Linked DNA regions of Astyanax mexicanus. The protein of the gene in region 1 purifies or fractionates together with the protein of each later gene. This does not show direct contact. Links are inferred from orthologs where the notes say so. Each region holds a gene or a part of one and is shown on either strand. Other genes may lie near its edges.

Evidence for each region.
Region 2: the proteins of nfkb1 (region 1) and sp1 purify together in Homo sapiens (affinity purification with western blotting, with the first as the bait; 3 studies listed by BioGRID). This does not show direct contact. The link is inferred for Astyanax mexicanus from reciprocal best matches to the Homo sapiens genes NFKB1 and SP1.

What each region holds. Positions count from the first base shown.
Region 1 is NC_064426.1:2,198,547-2,206,115, forward strand, and holds the start of nfkb1 (nuclear factor NF-kappa-B p105 subunit), read left to right. Parts: upstream 1-4,556; 5' UTR 4,557-4,827; intron 4,828-7,569. Other genes in the region: ube2d2l (ubiquitin-conjugating enzyme E2D 2 (UBC4/5 homolog, yeast), like), read left to right, coding at 529-634, 741-834, 1,455-1,503.
Region 2 is NC_064431.1:15,805,051-15,813,029, reverse strand, and holds the start of sp1 (transcription factor Sp1), read right to left. Parts: upstream 3,001-7,979; 5' UTR 2,901-3,000; coding exon 2,894-2,900; intron 2,130-2,893; coding exon 2,056-2,129; intron 622-2,055; coding exon 1-621. UniProt on the Homo sapiens protein: Transcription factor that can activate or repress transcription in response to physiological and pathological stimuli.

The DNA.
Region 1 (7,569 bases):
AATATTACAATATTTCATGCTATTTTTCGAGATAGAAAAAAAAAACACTGAATAAAAAAATATAGCTCAAAAATACACTTCTGCAACAAAATAAAAATTATTTTATTATTGCGTACGATATGATATAAAATGGCACACCCCTAACTGAGATTTTTTTTGTCAATGATCCAGAATGTCATGATACTAATAATACACTCTAAATATCTCTATATATCCAGGATTAAAGTAAAATAAATTATATATAATGGGAAATGAGAACAGTATATCCCAATGTTTGTGGACACAAAGCCTAATTAATGCACCGCTTGTCTAGTCACTGTAGAAGAAGTACTGCAAATAAAATAAGAATCTTTAAAGCGGATAAACAGTCAATCATGCTATGCCAGAATTATTAACATTTTTGATCCTACTTTAAAATCATTAGAGTATTTTTCATTTGCATTTCTTTTGCATTTGATTTTGTGTGGATGTATAACACTTAATTCAGTTTGTATCAGTAATCTGTCATTCTCTCCCTCTTCTCTGCAGGTTGCTTTCACCACAAGAATTTATCACCCAAATATTAACAGTAATGGCAGCATCTGTTTGGATATTCTAAGATCGCAGTGGTCACCAGCATTAACTATTTCTAAAGGTAAGCCCCTTCACACTGAACAGTAAAACAGTACATGAGGAGGACTGTGTTTTAAAGTGTTTTGGTGGTTGCTGTGAATAATGATGGTGTTTGATTCTTCCTGCAGTTCTCTTGTCCATCTGCTCTCTGTTATGTGACCCCAACCCAGACGACCCGCTAGTGCCAGAGATAGCTCGCATATATAAAACAGACAATGAAAAGTAAGTATCGTATCATATATTGTGTTTTTTTAAGTGAGAATAATCAATATTGAATGCATTTACAGAACAGAGTTAGTCAGTAATCTGCTTTATTCAATAATTGACGTGTTCATATGAATTGGATAATCGGAAAACAAACAGATTTAAAAGCGGCATTTTACAAAACGATATCCTTATATCGTTATCATGTTCAGTGAATTGTGATATTTTTATAATACTGTGATACTCAATGTGTTACAAGGCATATGTATTACTGAAGAGGATAAAACACTCTTAAATAAGCAAATACCAGGAATTACGGATTTATTTGCGTCAGTTTCACAGAATTTAACAACCAATTTTCTTCACCACAGGTTTAATGACCCTATTCATTTGATTATAGCGCCACCATGTGGAGTAATAAAGCAGTAACTTTAGTAAGTCTAATCGGTGGGCGAGATTTGGGGACTTTAATGCGCCTGTTTTAATAAAATATGCATGCAAGACGCCACTTGTTGATACGGTACGATACGATACAATCGAAACAATGCAATATATCACAATATCGATATAGTGTTCCAGCCCTGCCCTGATCTCAGTGGGGGTCTCACTGATGAGCTGGGCCGCTTTCCCTCCCTCAGGTATAATAGACTGGCCAGAGAGTGGACAGAGAAGTATGCCACACTGTAGGGGTAAGGCCGGGCATTGTGGGAAGTGCTGGTGTGTGTAAGCGTGTTATGCAGATGGTGTTCAGCATTAGGAGAGATGAGGACGGTGTGTAAAACAGAGGCAGAATGCTTTCAGCTTTGACCTTGCTGTTTTTGTGTGTGTGTGTGTGTGTGTGTGTGTGTGTGTGTGTGTGTGTGTGTGTGTGTGTGTGTGTGTGTGTGTGTGTGTGTGTGTGTGTGTGTGTGTGTGTGTGTTGGCATGGGCACAGTTGGCAGAGCAGTGCTCGCTTGCCCAGCATGCGACACTATCGTTACATTAGCACTCCTCAGCACCACTGTTAATCAATCTCTCTCTCTCTCTTTCTCTTTCTCTCTTTTACTTCCTCTCTTACTTGCTTGTTCCTCTCCATATACAGGCGTTTTTGTTCCTACATAGTAAATGAATAGTGAAGTGATCTATCAGACTATGAAAGAACACATAAGTAATCTGTCTGTCTGTCTACTTATTGTTCAGTGGGTCTATCTCCTCTCTCTCTCTCTCTCTCTCTCTCTCTCTCTTTCTCTCTTCTTCATCATCTTTCTCTCTTGAATTAAAGTTTATTAGAATTATAGGTTTAGTTTTTTTATTGGTATTTATCTCTCTCTCTTTCTTTATATCTCTGTCTCTTGAATTCAATTGGTGTTTCTCTCTTTCTCTATCTCTCTTTCTTGAATTCATGTAGTTTTATGTATGTTTCTATTGGTATTTTTTCCTCTGTCTCTCTCGCATTCTTTCTCTCTTTCTTGAATCTTTCTTTCTTGAATTCAAGTAGTTTTTGTTATCTTTCTCTTGATATTCTTTCTCTCATGAATTCAGATAGTTTAGTAGTTTAGTTTGTTGGTATTCTCTCTATCTATCTATCTCTTGAATTCAAATAGTTTTAGTTATGTATCTGTTGGTATTCTCTTTCTCTCTCTCTCTCGAATGTTGGAATTCAAGTAGTTTTATCAGCATGAATTGTAAATAACAGCTGTCAACAAGTTGCCAATGCAAATAATAGAGTGACTAATGATGATAAGTCATGACAAAAGCTAATGAGTGAATAACTTTATGAAAAACAGCAATTAAAACATTTACATAAAGTTTATTTAGGAATATATTTACAGTGGTTTAATGCAGTCTCTCTCTCTCTCTCTCTCTCTCCCTCTCTCTCTCTCTCTCTCTCTCTCCCTCCCTCTCTCTCTCTCTCTCTCTCTCTCTCAGGTATAACAGAATAGCTCGGGAATGGACTCAGAAATACGCCATGTGATACCTGACGGAATCTCACCCCAACAGATCTGCATTATAGCCCCCTTCTCCCACCTTCTCAACGATCTGGCACTTCCCCTCCACCCCCACCAGCCTCCACCACCCCCACCTCATCTCCAACCAAACCAGTGATTTTGTTTAGTTGTTTTCTGTCCCTGTTAAAGTGTCCTGCGCTGCGAGCGAGAGGACGTCACGGCGAGATCACGCTCTGTCCATCTTTTGTAAAACGCTCTCGGGTCTGAACTACGAAGCATGTGTATCGTCGAGGACCCCGCCCACTCTGTAACCAGGTGTAATAAAACAAAGACATAAAGCAAATAAATAAGAGTATCAAGCGCTTTTATCTCACGCCACATACTGGAGGTGCTATAACGATAAAAAAAATCTATATGTATAAATATATAATGAATAAATAAATAAATGAATAGATTAAATAATGGTCCTTTTGTGAACAATCTGTCACTGGGTTGGCCTTCACTTTTTTATATATGAAAAAATGCTTTTACAATAGCAATGATCCAGTCTGTGAACTATACTCCTCCTGCTTCTGACTGACTCGCCACGGGCAGAACCGGCCCCATGGTTCCATCAGCAGTTCTGAAGAATATAAGATCTATTTTATGCATGTCGTTAGGATAATAACCGTGAATGGGTCAGCCGTCTGCTGAGAAAACAGTGTTAAACACACGTGTCCACTTGAGAACTTTTATTTTGTTACTCCGTTTTCCTGGCTGTTTCATTTCTTCCCCCTGTCGTTTATAGAACGAGGAGCTATTAGTTCATCTGCCTTCCTCCTCCACACTGTTGGCTTGTTGCACTGAATTTATGATTGGACGCTCCTGACGGATGACCGGTCAACTAATAGCTCCACTAGCTGTTCATTTGTTTTCTCAATAAAGTTGGTAAAAGTACTGATTTAAGAGTGGTGTCGTCTTTACTGCATGCATTAACTTTAAGTAGTCTTGTAATACTTTGTGTGGGATTGCAATATTAAAAAAATAATAATTATTTGGGTATTTATTTATAATTGTATTTATTTATAAAAATATTCAGTTTCTTTATGTGCATTCATTTATAGAACAGCAAGTTTTATTATTTTCTGGCTATGAATTAATTATCTCAATCCCACACCATAATCAGTCATGGCCATGATCTCATTCACATGCCTTATTTATCTCGTTCCCAAGCATTAGGATCCCGTTCCCATGGCTTAATAAGAATGCTGTTTTCTGACTCTAATATTCTACTATAAAATCTATATAGCAAATTAATCCAATTTTTTTGTTTCCCTGCATTGGAAGCCTGTGTGTGATATTTTATATTTTTATATTGCTCTTTTTATTTCATAAAGCATCCCTAAACATGAAAAAACATGATTAAAAAGTGTTATAAATCACATTAAAATTAGTAGAAATTTGCTGTTACTTTGCCATAATGGCTCTAGTACTTCAGTTTTTCCAGTGTTTTTGCAGTAAATAGGCCGTAGTTACTCTTTCATTGATTTATAAACTTGTTGATTGGGTGTTTTATGGTCTATTCTGATGAATAACATCTCTCAAATAGTGTGAAGTGCAACAAAATATTTAAAAATAAAGAAAATACCTGATGTCCATTATTATAACATTTTACATTTTCTGCAAATAAATCAAATGCTTTAAATGACAATATTTTTATAGCAGTGTTTGTACACACTGTATTATTACACAATTCAATAAGACGGTAATTACCGGGTTTGACCAGCAGGTGTCGCCCCCGCAGCGGCCGGCTTTGCTGGAGGAGAAGTTGCGTTACGTCACAGGGAATTTCCAGTAAGGAAGTGAACTTTTCTTTACAAACAGATCGATCCGCGCTCGAGCGGCGACCATTAACTCGATATCGCCTCCGATCCGCCGGATAATTCACCCGCACTGCGCCCGAGCCTCTCCTCCGCACCCAGCCGAACGCCCGCCCGGCCGGAGCTCTGCGCCACCCGCGGGGCTGCATGGCTCCTTACCCGCCTGCCTGAGCTCTCTCTGCGGACTGACAGCACATGTGGAGCGGCCAGACACACCAGCACAGGTAGCGGACTGAGCTCCACACACTGCACTCTACAGTCTACACACACTTTACTGCTGTTTTACTGCTGTTTATGTCATATAAACACTGACACTTATATCTGCTCTACATATATATATCCTTATATAGAACACCAACTATTGCCTAACTACCTAACTGCTCATAGTATAGTTATTAACTCTAACCATTCACAACATTCATTAAAAATATTACTTTTAAGATATTACTAATCTATCTAATCTGAGATACGTTTTAATATATTAATAGTGGGGAATTAACCCACATTATGCGCTCTATAACACTTTCAAATCATTAAGTCTTAAGATTTCCCTATAATAATAAATCCGCTTTTGTTTCATTTGGATGACTTTGTAGGTAGTTTTGGGCTGTGTCCAAATAAGTACTCTACCTCACTAGTTACTTAGCTAGTTAGCTAACTTAAGTTTGCAGACTATACAGTCAATGGAGCATGAGTAGTAGTATAGCTGGCTAGTGGTTGATTTTGAGATATTTTAAATAAATGTCCCTAAGATTAATCTGCTTTTGTTTTATTTGGATGTCTTTGTAGGTAGGTATCATTCGGCTGCGTTCAAATAAGCACTCTTACACACCTAGCTAGATAACTATACCAGTAGTTTGCAGAGTATATCAAAGCAAGTTAATTCAACACCGTTAGCTAGTGGAGCTATCTAGTTAGCTAGTGGTGATATTCGGGATACAGCCCACTGTTTTAAAGTCTTAAGTCTTACAAATGTCACTGTAATAAATCAAATTTTGGATGGCTTTTAGCTTTGGGCTGCGTCCAAAGCGTCTAGTGGTGGGATCGGGATACAGCCCACAGTTTTAAAGTGTTATAAGGCACTAGTCAATAGTGCAGCACTACTATAGGTTAGGTAGTGGTGGGATTTGGGACGCAGCCCACTCTCAGCACTATCAGACGAAGCTGAACTGAAGAACATGGTCTTGTTATTGATGTGTTTAAACAAATAAAACCACAAGTTTACACTCGTATGTGTTAGTCATTTCATTTCTCAATAAAATCCCAGTATATTAATTAAGAATATGAAATATCAGAGGCTGCTCAGCATCTTAAACTGACTGAAACTGACTCAAACTGAGAGTCTGGGTATTTTGTTGACTTGCCGACTTGTTGGCTTGTTAACTCCGAGTCCCAGTGCTGTTAAAACACTTAATTTAGCACTTTTAAACCGTATAAACTTAATATAAGTTTCCTACACGACAGCGGGTTAAAGTTGCGGCGAAATCCGACCACAATCTCAGAAAATGAAGTTGGATTTAGCTGATTTAGCTGAACTTCGCTCTGCTACTTCCCATTTCCACACACAGACTGAGGGCTTTAGCTTAGCTTAGGTTTAGCCTAGCTTAGCTTAGCATGCTAACTAACATTAGCTCATTAATTCGAGGCTTTGACCGTGTTTTTACAGCTCAGCCGCTTCAGCTTTAGTTAACAGACTGAATAAAAATATAATATGATATATATATATATATATATATATATATATATATATATATATATATATATATATATATATATATATATATATATATATTGGTTAAATAATGTTCAATAAAGAGAAAGATTATTTTAAATATAATTACAGGGCTGTGAAAGTGCACTCACTGTAAATTAGCTAGCTGTTATTTCTACTCCCTGTCAGAGCTTAGCTTTAACCTTTTTTAGGTTTTTATTATTATTTTCAGCTGTAAGTTCTATACGGCTTATTTTATTTTACTCTATACTATATAAGTTAGTATGAAGCCTCAAACAACACTGATAGCAAGAAAGTTGAATAAACCTTCAATTTTTGACTGTATGATGGAAAAGCAACCTTTAATCTTTCATTTAAAAGTTCTTCCATAATATATAATTAATATTAATGCACATTTATAATTAGTACATTTAAATGTCCCTTTCTACAAAACAACAACAATACAAACACGATATATACATATGTAATGTAAGTAAAGGTTAATACAAACAATATACAGCTCTGGAAAACAAATAAGAGACCACTTAAACTTTCTTTGATTTTACCAAATTGAAAACCTCTGGAATATAATCAAGAGGAAGATGGATGAACACAAACCATCAAACCACCAAACTGAACTGCTTAAATGTTCACACCAGGAGTAAAGCAGCATAAAGTTATCCAAAAGCAGTGTGTAAGACTGGTGGAGGAGAACATGCCAGTATGAATTGCAGATAAGCAAAATATTACAATGTCAGTTTTTTCTCTCTAATATCGTGCAACCCTAGCCTGGATCTTCTGAAAGTCTTCTCACAGTCAGTTTTAGGGGTTGATTGTTTACTTGCTGCCTAAAATATCTCATATTAATGCTCTGACATTTGAACTCTCCATTCCATGAGTCTTTCTACGGTCTATTGTTCTTGATCTGATCTGAAGCTACATGACGTTTAAAGGTCTGTAGTGATGGACTCGAGTCGCTGTCATTCCCAGTCTCTTCCACTTTATTAAAATATCACTGACAGTTGGCTTTGGAATATTTAGTAGTGAGTTTAGTAGTAAAATTTCACGACTGGACTTGTTGTTGCACAGGTGCTGCATCCTATCACACGGTACCACAGTGCGTTCACTGAGCTTCTGAGAGCAACCCATTCTTTCATTATTTTTTTTTATTCACACCTGTGGCCATGCAAGTGATTGGAATACCTGAGTTCAGTTAATTGGATGATTGGTTGATTGAAAACATTTGGTTTTAAGC
Region 2 (7,979 bases), on another chromosome or scaffold:
CATGGGCACGTTAGCCAAAAACTGTGTCTGACTGGGCAGAACAGTGTTGCCCAGTGCCAGGTTCTGAAGAGGAATGGCCTGCTGAAGAAGACCTGGCACAGTCAGGATGTTGCCAGCTCCAGTATTCTGGCCGGCCGACGTTGCGATGAGCTGCTGCCCACCATTGGGCGAAGACACGAGCTGAAGCTGCCCTGTTCCTGCAGCAGAAGCATCCTGGGTAGTCTGGGCAAACTGCAGCTGTTGCCCGTCCACTGTCTGGAACTGTGGAATGACCTGATACTGGATGTTGGGCATCACACCAGAGATGGTGGTCAGCAGCTGCTGGCCTTGTATGCTGGGTGCTGATGCCACTATATACTGCTGCTGCTGTTGCTGCTGGACACCGGAGGTCACGATAGTTTGGTTTTTATCCTGAACGATCTTCTGAGAGACGTTATTCCCGGAGGCAGTGGTCGTCTGTACACCTTGAGAAACTATCTGCCAGCCGTTGGTGGCGTGAGATACCTGGGTGTGGGTTAAATCATTCCGATGGACCTGAAGCTGCTGTTCAGCTGCGTCGTTCTCGTCTATCCGACTGCAAGTCGCCGCCAACAGGGCTAAAGGTGATGGCGGCTGGGCATCCTGTGGGAAGGAGAACCTCAGAATAACTTGATGCATCACATTTTTGATTTAGTAAAATGCAGTGTGGGATAATGTATGATTACACGGAATGTAACGATTAACGATGTAACGAAATATTGATAAATTGTGTTATCACAAAGCAACATAAAATTACGTAAAGTCCTCCAACACTTATTTTAGCTGTTTAGCATTTCCCAACACTGGTCCTAGGACCATTGCACTAAGCAAGTGGTACTTTTTTAGTAAAAAAACAGACCTTCTTAAAGGTTTTGTAAGACAAACAGATAAAGAGCTGTTTGTGTGGGTCAGGTTTTAAGAATTTCTATGTAACTAGTTTACAACATGACATCAAATTTTATTCCAGTAACTTTACATAATTTTTTCCAATGAAGGTGTAAACTGTATTCAAGGTGTAGCGAAATAATTAAAAAAAAATTATATATATACAAATTGTTCTTATTACAGTGCAACAGTGCAGAAGTAAATAAAGCTGTTATTGCTGATTAAGGAATTAGTAATTTCAGTGTTTAGCACTGAGTGTTTGTGTTTACATCATGTACAGCATGTGCCATATAATTGTCCCATATCTTAATCTCCAAATTTGAATTCCTTGGAGTTCCTTCCTTACATGACCGACCAAATACAACGAAACTTCTTCACTTGAAATTAAACAGAGAGTGCAGAGATTTTGGTACATAATAAATAGCTGGTTTAAGACTAATAATAAAAAACAACAACACTTGTCTCAACATATAGCCTTTAAATAACTGAAGAAAATTTTGTATTGGTGGTATAATGGAAAGAACTTGGTGGGGATATAAGCAAGGCGATATATTGCCACTGTTTAAACCAAAATCAATATTGTACAACAAAAAACTATATTCTTAAAATATGAGCGATTCTCAATTATGATTTTTAGTTCTTGTAGATAACTTCAAAATCACATTTATAACATTTATATAATACATAAGATTTCTTAATTCTTTTAAAGTAATAGTAAGCAGCCACCTTCAACCTTACATACAACTTTAATATTAAACATAATACATTTTAAATGTTGTCAACATAATACTAACAATTATTTAAATTTAAATATCCATTAATAAACTCCCAAGAAATATGTGCACTGTTTGATATATGCACTAAAGTAAATAAAAAATGCCTTAAATATGTATTTCCATAAATATATAGAGAAACCAATTACTTAAAAAAACTTAGCTTTAAGAAAACGAGGCTTGCAACGACACACGACTTTTACAACTGCATGTGTTATTTCATCCTGTTGTCTTCAGTATTAATCTACAATGTAGAAAATACTAAAGAATAAAGAATAAAGAAAAAATAAACTAAACGAAAAGGTGTGTGGTCAAACTTTTGCCTAGTACTGTATAACAGCTATAGCTATATCAAATATTTAACAGTTGTATTACTGACCTGGTCTGTTTTGGTGTTTCGCTTTTTACGGAAGTCTCCGTCGCCTTCTCCCATCGCAGCCATTTCATTTCGCTCTGTAGACAAGAAAATATATTTTTAAATCACTTGTATGGTTTACAACTGAGTTATTACTAGTCTTTAATAATTATTATTTAGCTTAAAGAGCAAATAAGACGTTAAACCACTTTTAAGTTGACTTGCTTTTGCAATAGTCCGTTCCACCTTAAAGAGTGCAGCAGTTCCATGGAACTGCTGCACTCTTTAAGGTGGAACGGACAATTCCAAAAAACAAGCAATTTTAAAACAGGCAAATGAAAGTTTTAACGACAAAACACTTGTAAATGAAGTAAAAACACAACAGATTAAATATTAAATAAAGCGATTTACCACCCAAAAAGCTAGTTATCTAACCGCTAGCTACCTTAATAAAGCCATTATGAAAGTTTTTTAGTACAAAAAAACTTAAGGTTCCTTAGCAGGTTAGCTCGCTAGCTAAGCTAGCTAGGTTAGCTAAACTAGCGGTAGCTACAGTAGCGAAGTCTCTGTTAGACACTTTAACTACCCACTCAGTTATTAATTATCCAGTTCTACACATCTAATTCGCATTATAACAGCCTCCGTTTACACTTATCAACTTTTAACCTACTTCAAACCGGTTTCTTCGTACTTTAACTCGCCAACTACAAATCTTCAGAAATCATTTCAGACACTTACAGTCACTGCAGACTAAACCTACCCCACAAAACCGCCCCGAAAAGTGCTTATTATCACGCCTACCTCACCTTAACTCGACTAACTCGTTAAAAACCCGCTTTTAAACCGAATTAACTCAACTTACCGCTCATTTTTTAACACGCAGGAGTTTCTTTTTGGACACACATCAACTTACAAACAACTCAACCGAACTCGCTGCCTGCCTGGAAATGATAGACAGGCGTGGCGAAGGCGGACAGCCAATCAAAACGCCCTCCGGTTTTATCCGAGCCAATCAGAACTGTGCCACCGCCCATGTAGGCCACACCTGAAGCGTTTTCTCGGTTATTATTTGTGTTATTATTATTTTATATAAATTAATACAGATTAATATCTAGTGTTAAAGTAAGCTAGGTTTATAATTAGCAGTAAAGTGTATTAAAACGTGGGATGACGTGGTTGGAAGTAGTAAGCGTATCCAAAAAAGGCGGGAGAACCGTGGCTTAGATTTGATTGGTTCCTCTCGTAGGAAGACTCCGCCCTGTTTGAGAAGTCTTGAGAGATTTTAACCAATCAGAACACAGAGAGCAGGTTATAGGAGCCCGCCTCTTCTCCGTAGCAGCCCTCTGTTACACCTACATGTATGTAGGTTACCCCGCCACCTGGTGGCCGTAAAAAAGGAAGAACCTGCTTTAAATGTTCATGTTTTAGTTTAGTTTTAATGTAATTTAAACTAAGAAAACTAATAAAATATCTACAACTAACTGAAATTGAAATTTTATAACATTTTTATTTTATTATTAGTCATATTATGATTAATAAATATTGATTTGAGTATCAATTTTGCTCAGAATCCAACCAGATAAGCACAGGTTTAGGGCAGGACTGCACAATATAATGTTTAATACTGTCTTTGCAAACTGCAATATAATTTATTTTACTCCAGTTTTACTATATGCACAAAGAGAAAATTAGATTTTGTGTATCTGTCAATACCAATCCCGATCTGATACTCTGGCAATGCAGTAAAAAAAAAAAAAAAAAAAAAAACACATCCAAGTTGTTATTTTTAAATAACCAATTTTTTAAAATCAAAATATACCACTTCATATCACATTTTAAAAGTATTATATTGTACTAGTCTATGCTTTTAAAGAATAATAATTACATACTATAAGACACATTACTATATTTACTTGAAAACATTAAAATCACCAGTGAAAATATCAAACTGTGCACGCATGTGTAAATCATGTGGCCTACCAAACATTCATAAGCTTTTAATAATGGATTATTTAAATGTAAAAAAAAAGAGTCATTGTTAGATTGGCGAATTTTAATTATATTTATATTAGTGGTGTCAGTGACATAAAAATGTACTGTATTAATCACCACAATATTAAAACCATGATATATATATATATATATATATATATATATATATATATATATATATATATATGTATATATATATTTTTTTTTAATGTCATTATTTCGCCCACCCATAGCAATATGATGCATAAGAGACTCCAAGTGGTCCAGAAGAATAAAGTGCTGCCACGAATCCCAGTCATGCACCTCGCTATCAGTCCGAGAGAGAGCACAATTGGTCTTGCTCTCTCTAGGTGTGTAGATGGCGCTTTTTTCCCACATCACTCCAAAGGGTGATATCAGTCAGCACAGGCATCTGTTGGCTCATGTATCAGAGCCGAGTCACTGTGCTTTCTTGTGACCGTGCTCGCTACTCGCTAATGCTGCATTTCCAAGAGGTGGTAGCTGGCTTTACATGTGTCAGAGGAGGCATTGCTAGCCATACCTGTCAAGTCTCCCGTTTTGGCCGGGAAACTACCGTATTTTACTCCTCTTTCCCGCCGTCCTCCCGTATTAGTATTTTCCCGTAAATTTCCCGTATTATACTAAATAAAAAAATATATATTATTGAGGAGACAGGGCACTGACCGCTCTCTTAACCAATCGTGGAGCCGATTCAAGGAGAAAGTCCCGCCTTTCAGGAGAAACAGCCAATCAGCTTACAAAGGAGGGTCAGTGTGGGAAAGCCCCCCGTCGCTGTGAGTTCAGGCAGCTAGTTAGAGCTGCTGATGTTAAAACATACATGGATATACAGCGATTTTTCTAAAAGAAAGGTAACGGTAGGCTAATCATGTAAACTGTGATGAGATTTTTCTGATAGCTGCTTAAAAATACAGCTTGTGACTTTAGAAAAAAATACAGCTTGTGACTCTAGAACTAGAAATGTGGAGAGGACCGAAATTAACTGAACTGATCAGGGGTGGAGTGATCAAAAGAAAGAAGTATTAATTAAAAATTATTGTGTAGGCCCCTTAGGACTAATTTTTACTGATGGAACATATCTGGTCCATGTCCTTTTAGTAAAAGCTCATGATACTATTTTTAGTTCACCTACAGTCATTTTGCAGAATTTGTGCACCCTTTGTTCAATTTTAAATCCATTAAATAAATAAAAAATATATCATATAAAAGAGTGCATTTATTACAAAAAGACATGAAATCTTATATATTTTTTTAAATATATAGAAAAGGGTATTTAATTTGGCTGTATTAAAAGAATGACATATGTAGGAATGTCCACAACATTTCAGATTCTGATAATCTAATTGTAGTGTGTAAGTGGTTCACTTGTGGTTATTTTAGATTTTTTGTAAACCCGTCTTAAAATGTAAGGGATACTGAACCTTCGTTGGGCTGGTGGGACGGCTTTAGGAGTACAGAGGAAAATATCCCTTATTCTTAAATCTAAAACTTGACAGGTATGTTGCTAGCATACCTGTCAAGTCTCCCGTTTTGGCCGGGAAACCCCTACGGTGGCCGAGAAAGCCCAACGCAGTGCAAATTGAAAAGCGCTGCAAAAGCACAAAACACATCCATCAAAATTACAACACAGGCGCAGCAAATAGAAAAACGCGCTGCAAAAAGAAAAACGCGCTGCAAATAGAAAAACGCGCTGCAAATAGAACCACAACACAACGGAAGTGAGTCACAACGGAATTTTCCCGGGGGACCTTAAAAGATGCTGTACCAGCTGTATACAAAGGACAATAAGTGGCAAACAAGCTTCTGAAAAGTAAGTTATGTTTATTACCTGTGATTACCACGGTTGTGTGCATATTATTAAAAGTTCTGCTTCACAAAACGCCTTGTTTGCCACGTATTGTCCTTTGTACACATATTGAAGTCCGAGACGTTACTGAAGACGCAGCTTAGCTGGTACAGTATCTTTTAAGGTCCCCCGGGAAAATTCCGTTGTGTTGTGACTCACTTCCGTTGTGTTGTGGTTCTATTTGCAGCGCGTTTTTCTATTTGCAGCGCGTTTTTCTTTTTGCAGCGCGTTTTTCTATTTGCTGCGCCTGTGTTGTAATTTTGATGGATGTGTTTTGTGCTTTTGCAGCGCTTTTCAATTTGCACTGCGTTGGGCTTTCTCAGCCACCGTAGATCTGGATATACAGCGATTTTTCTTAAAGAAAGGGAACGGTAGGCTAATCATGGAAACTGTGATGAGATTTTTCTGATAGCTGCTTAAAAATACTCGTCTCCGAAATAAAACACACAGATTAAACCTTTTAAAATAAACAAATTTACAACTTGTGACTCAGTTTAACTAGAAATGTGGAGAGGACCGAAATTAACTGAACTGATCAGGGGTGGAGTGATCAAAAGGAAGAAGTATTAATTAAAAATTATTGTGTAGGCCCCTTAGGACAAATTTTTACTGATGAAACATATCTGGTCCATGTCCTTTTAGTAAAAGCTCATGATACTATGTTTAGGTCACCAACAGTCATTTTGCAGAATTTGTGCACCCTTTGTTCAATTTTAAATCCATTAAATAAATAAAAAATATATCATATAAAAGAGTGCATTTATTACAAAAAAGACATGAAATCTTAATTTTTTAAAAAAAGAAAAGGATTTTTAATTTGGCTGTATTAAAAGAATGACATATGTAGGAATGTCCACAACATTTCAGATTCTTATAATCTAATTGTAGTGTGTAAGTGGTTCACTTGTGGTTATTTTATATTTCTTGTAAACCTGTTTTAAAATGTGAGGGATACTGAACCTTCGTTGGGCTGGTGGGACGGCTTTAAGCGTACAGAGGAAAATATCCCTTATTTTTAAATCTAAAACTTGACAGGTATGTGCTAGTAATCGAGTGAGTGCAACTGAGTGGGTGGAATAATCGGCATAGTTAAAAATAAAAATATAATATATAAATATAATAATATAAAAAATAATAATATAATAAAATAGTATAAAAAATATAGTAAAAAAAAAACAAAAACAAATCAAATGTATAGTTTCCACCTGATTCTGATCCTTTGAAAAATACCCGATCTGACCCCGATTTTCAATCCTGTTGCACTGTATTTTTTACCTCTATTTTTTTTTAAATCTCAATATATATTACAGATCAACAAATTATAGTGCAGTGTAAGTTTTCCCCAAAATCATGGGTGAGGCCATGAATATTAATTCACCGATTGACGTACACATGTGCTTTTACTGATCGACTAGTTTTTCTGAGGCTTTTCTTTTACCAGCTACTGTAGACAATAGAGGTTCAGGAAGAGTTTCATGTGCAGCATCATGTACAACTCAAAGAGACTTATTCTATTTCACAAAGAACAAGAAAAAGTGGATTTTATTGGAAGGAGACCTTTAAAATATGCTCGGGACTGAAGCCCCTAAAGTCCATGCCAGGTGCTGCCCCTGGGTGTAGATCACTAATCTTAGGTTTAGATTTAAGTTTAATGTTTGATTTTTGCAGGGATGGACGGAATTATGGCAAAAGAGAGCTTTAAGGGCTAAAAGGGTTTGATTAAAGTTGAATCTTCACTGTTTGTTCAGCTGTTGGAGTGAGGAACAGCAAAATACTGTAAAGCTGGTGTTCAGAGAGCGTTTGCTTGCTAGATTTGCCAGTTCGTTAAGTCAGCCACATGGGTAGAGAATGTCGGCCCCGTCCCAAATTACAAATATTCCCTACCACTAGAGCATTTCTAAAAAATGAACAAACATTTCTACAGTTATTGAATGTTAAATAAGGAGTTATTTATTCTAAAGTATTTCAGAATACAACTGAATTTAGATCAGATGTATAATGGCTTGTACATGTATTCATACCTCTTGAAGTGTTTTACATTTTGTCACATTACAACCACAAACTTAAATGTAGTTTATTGATATTTTAAGTG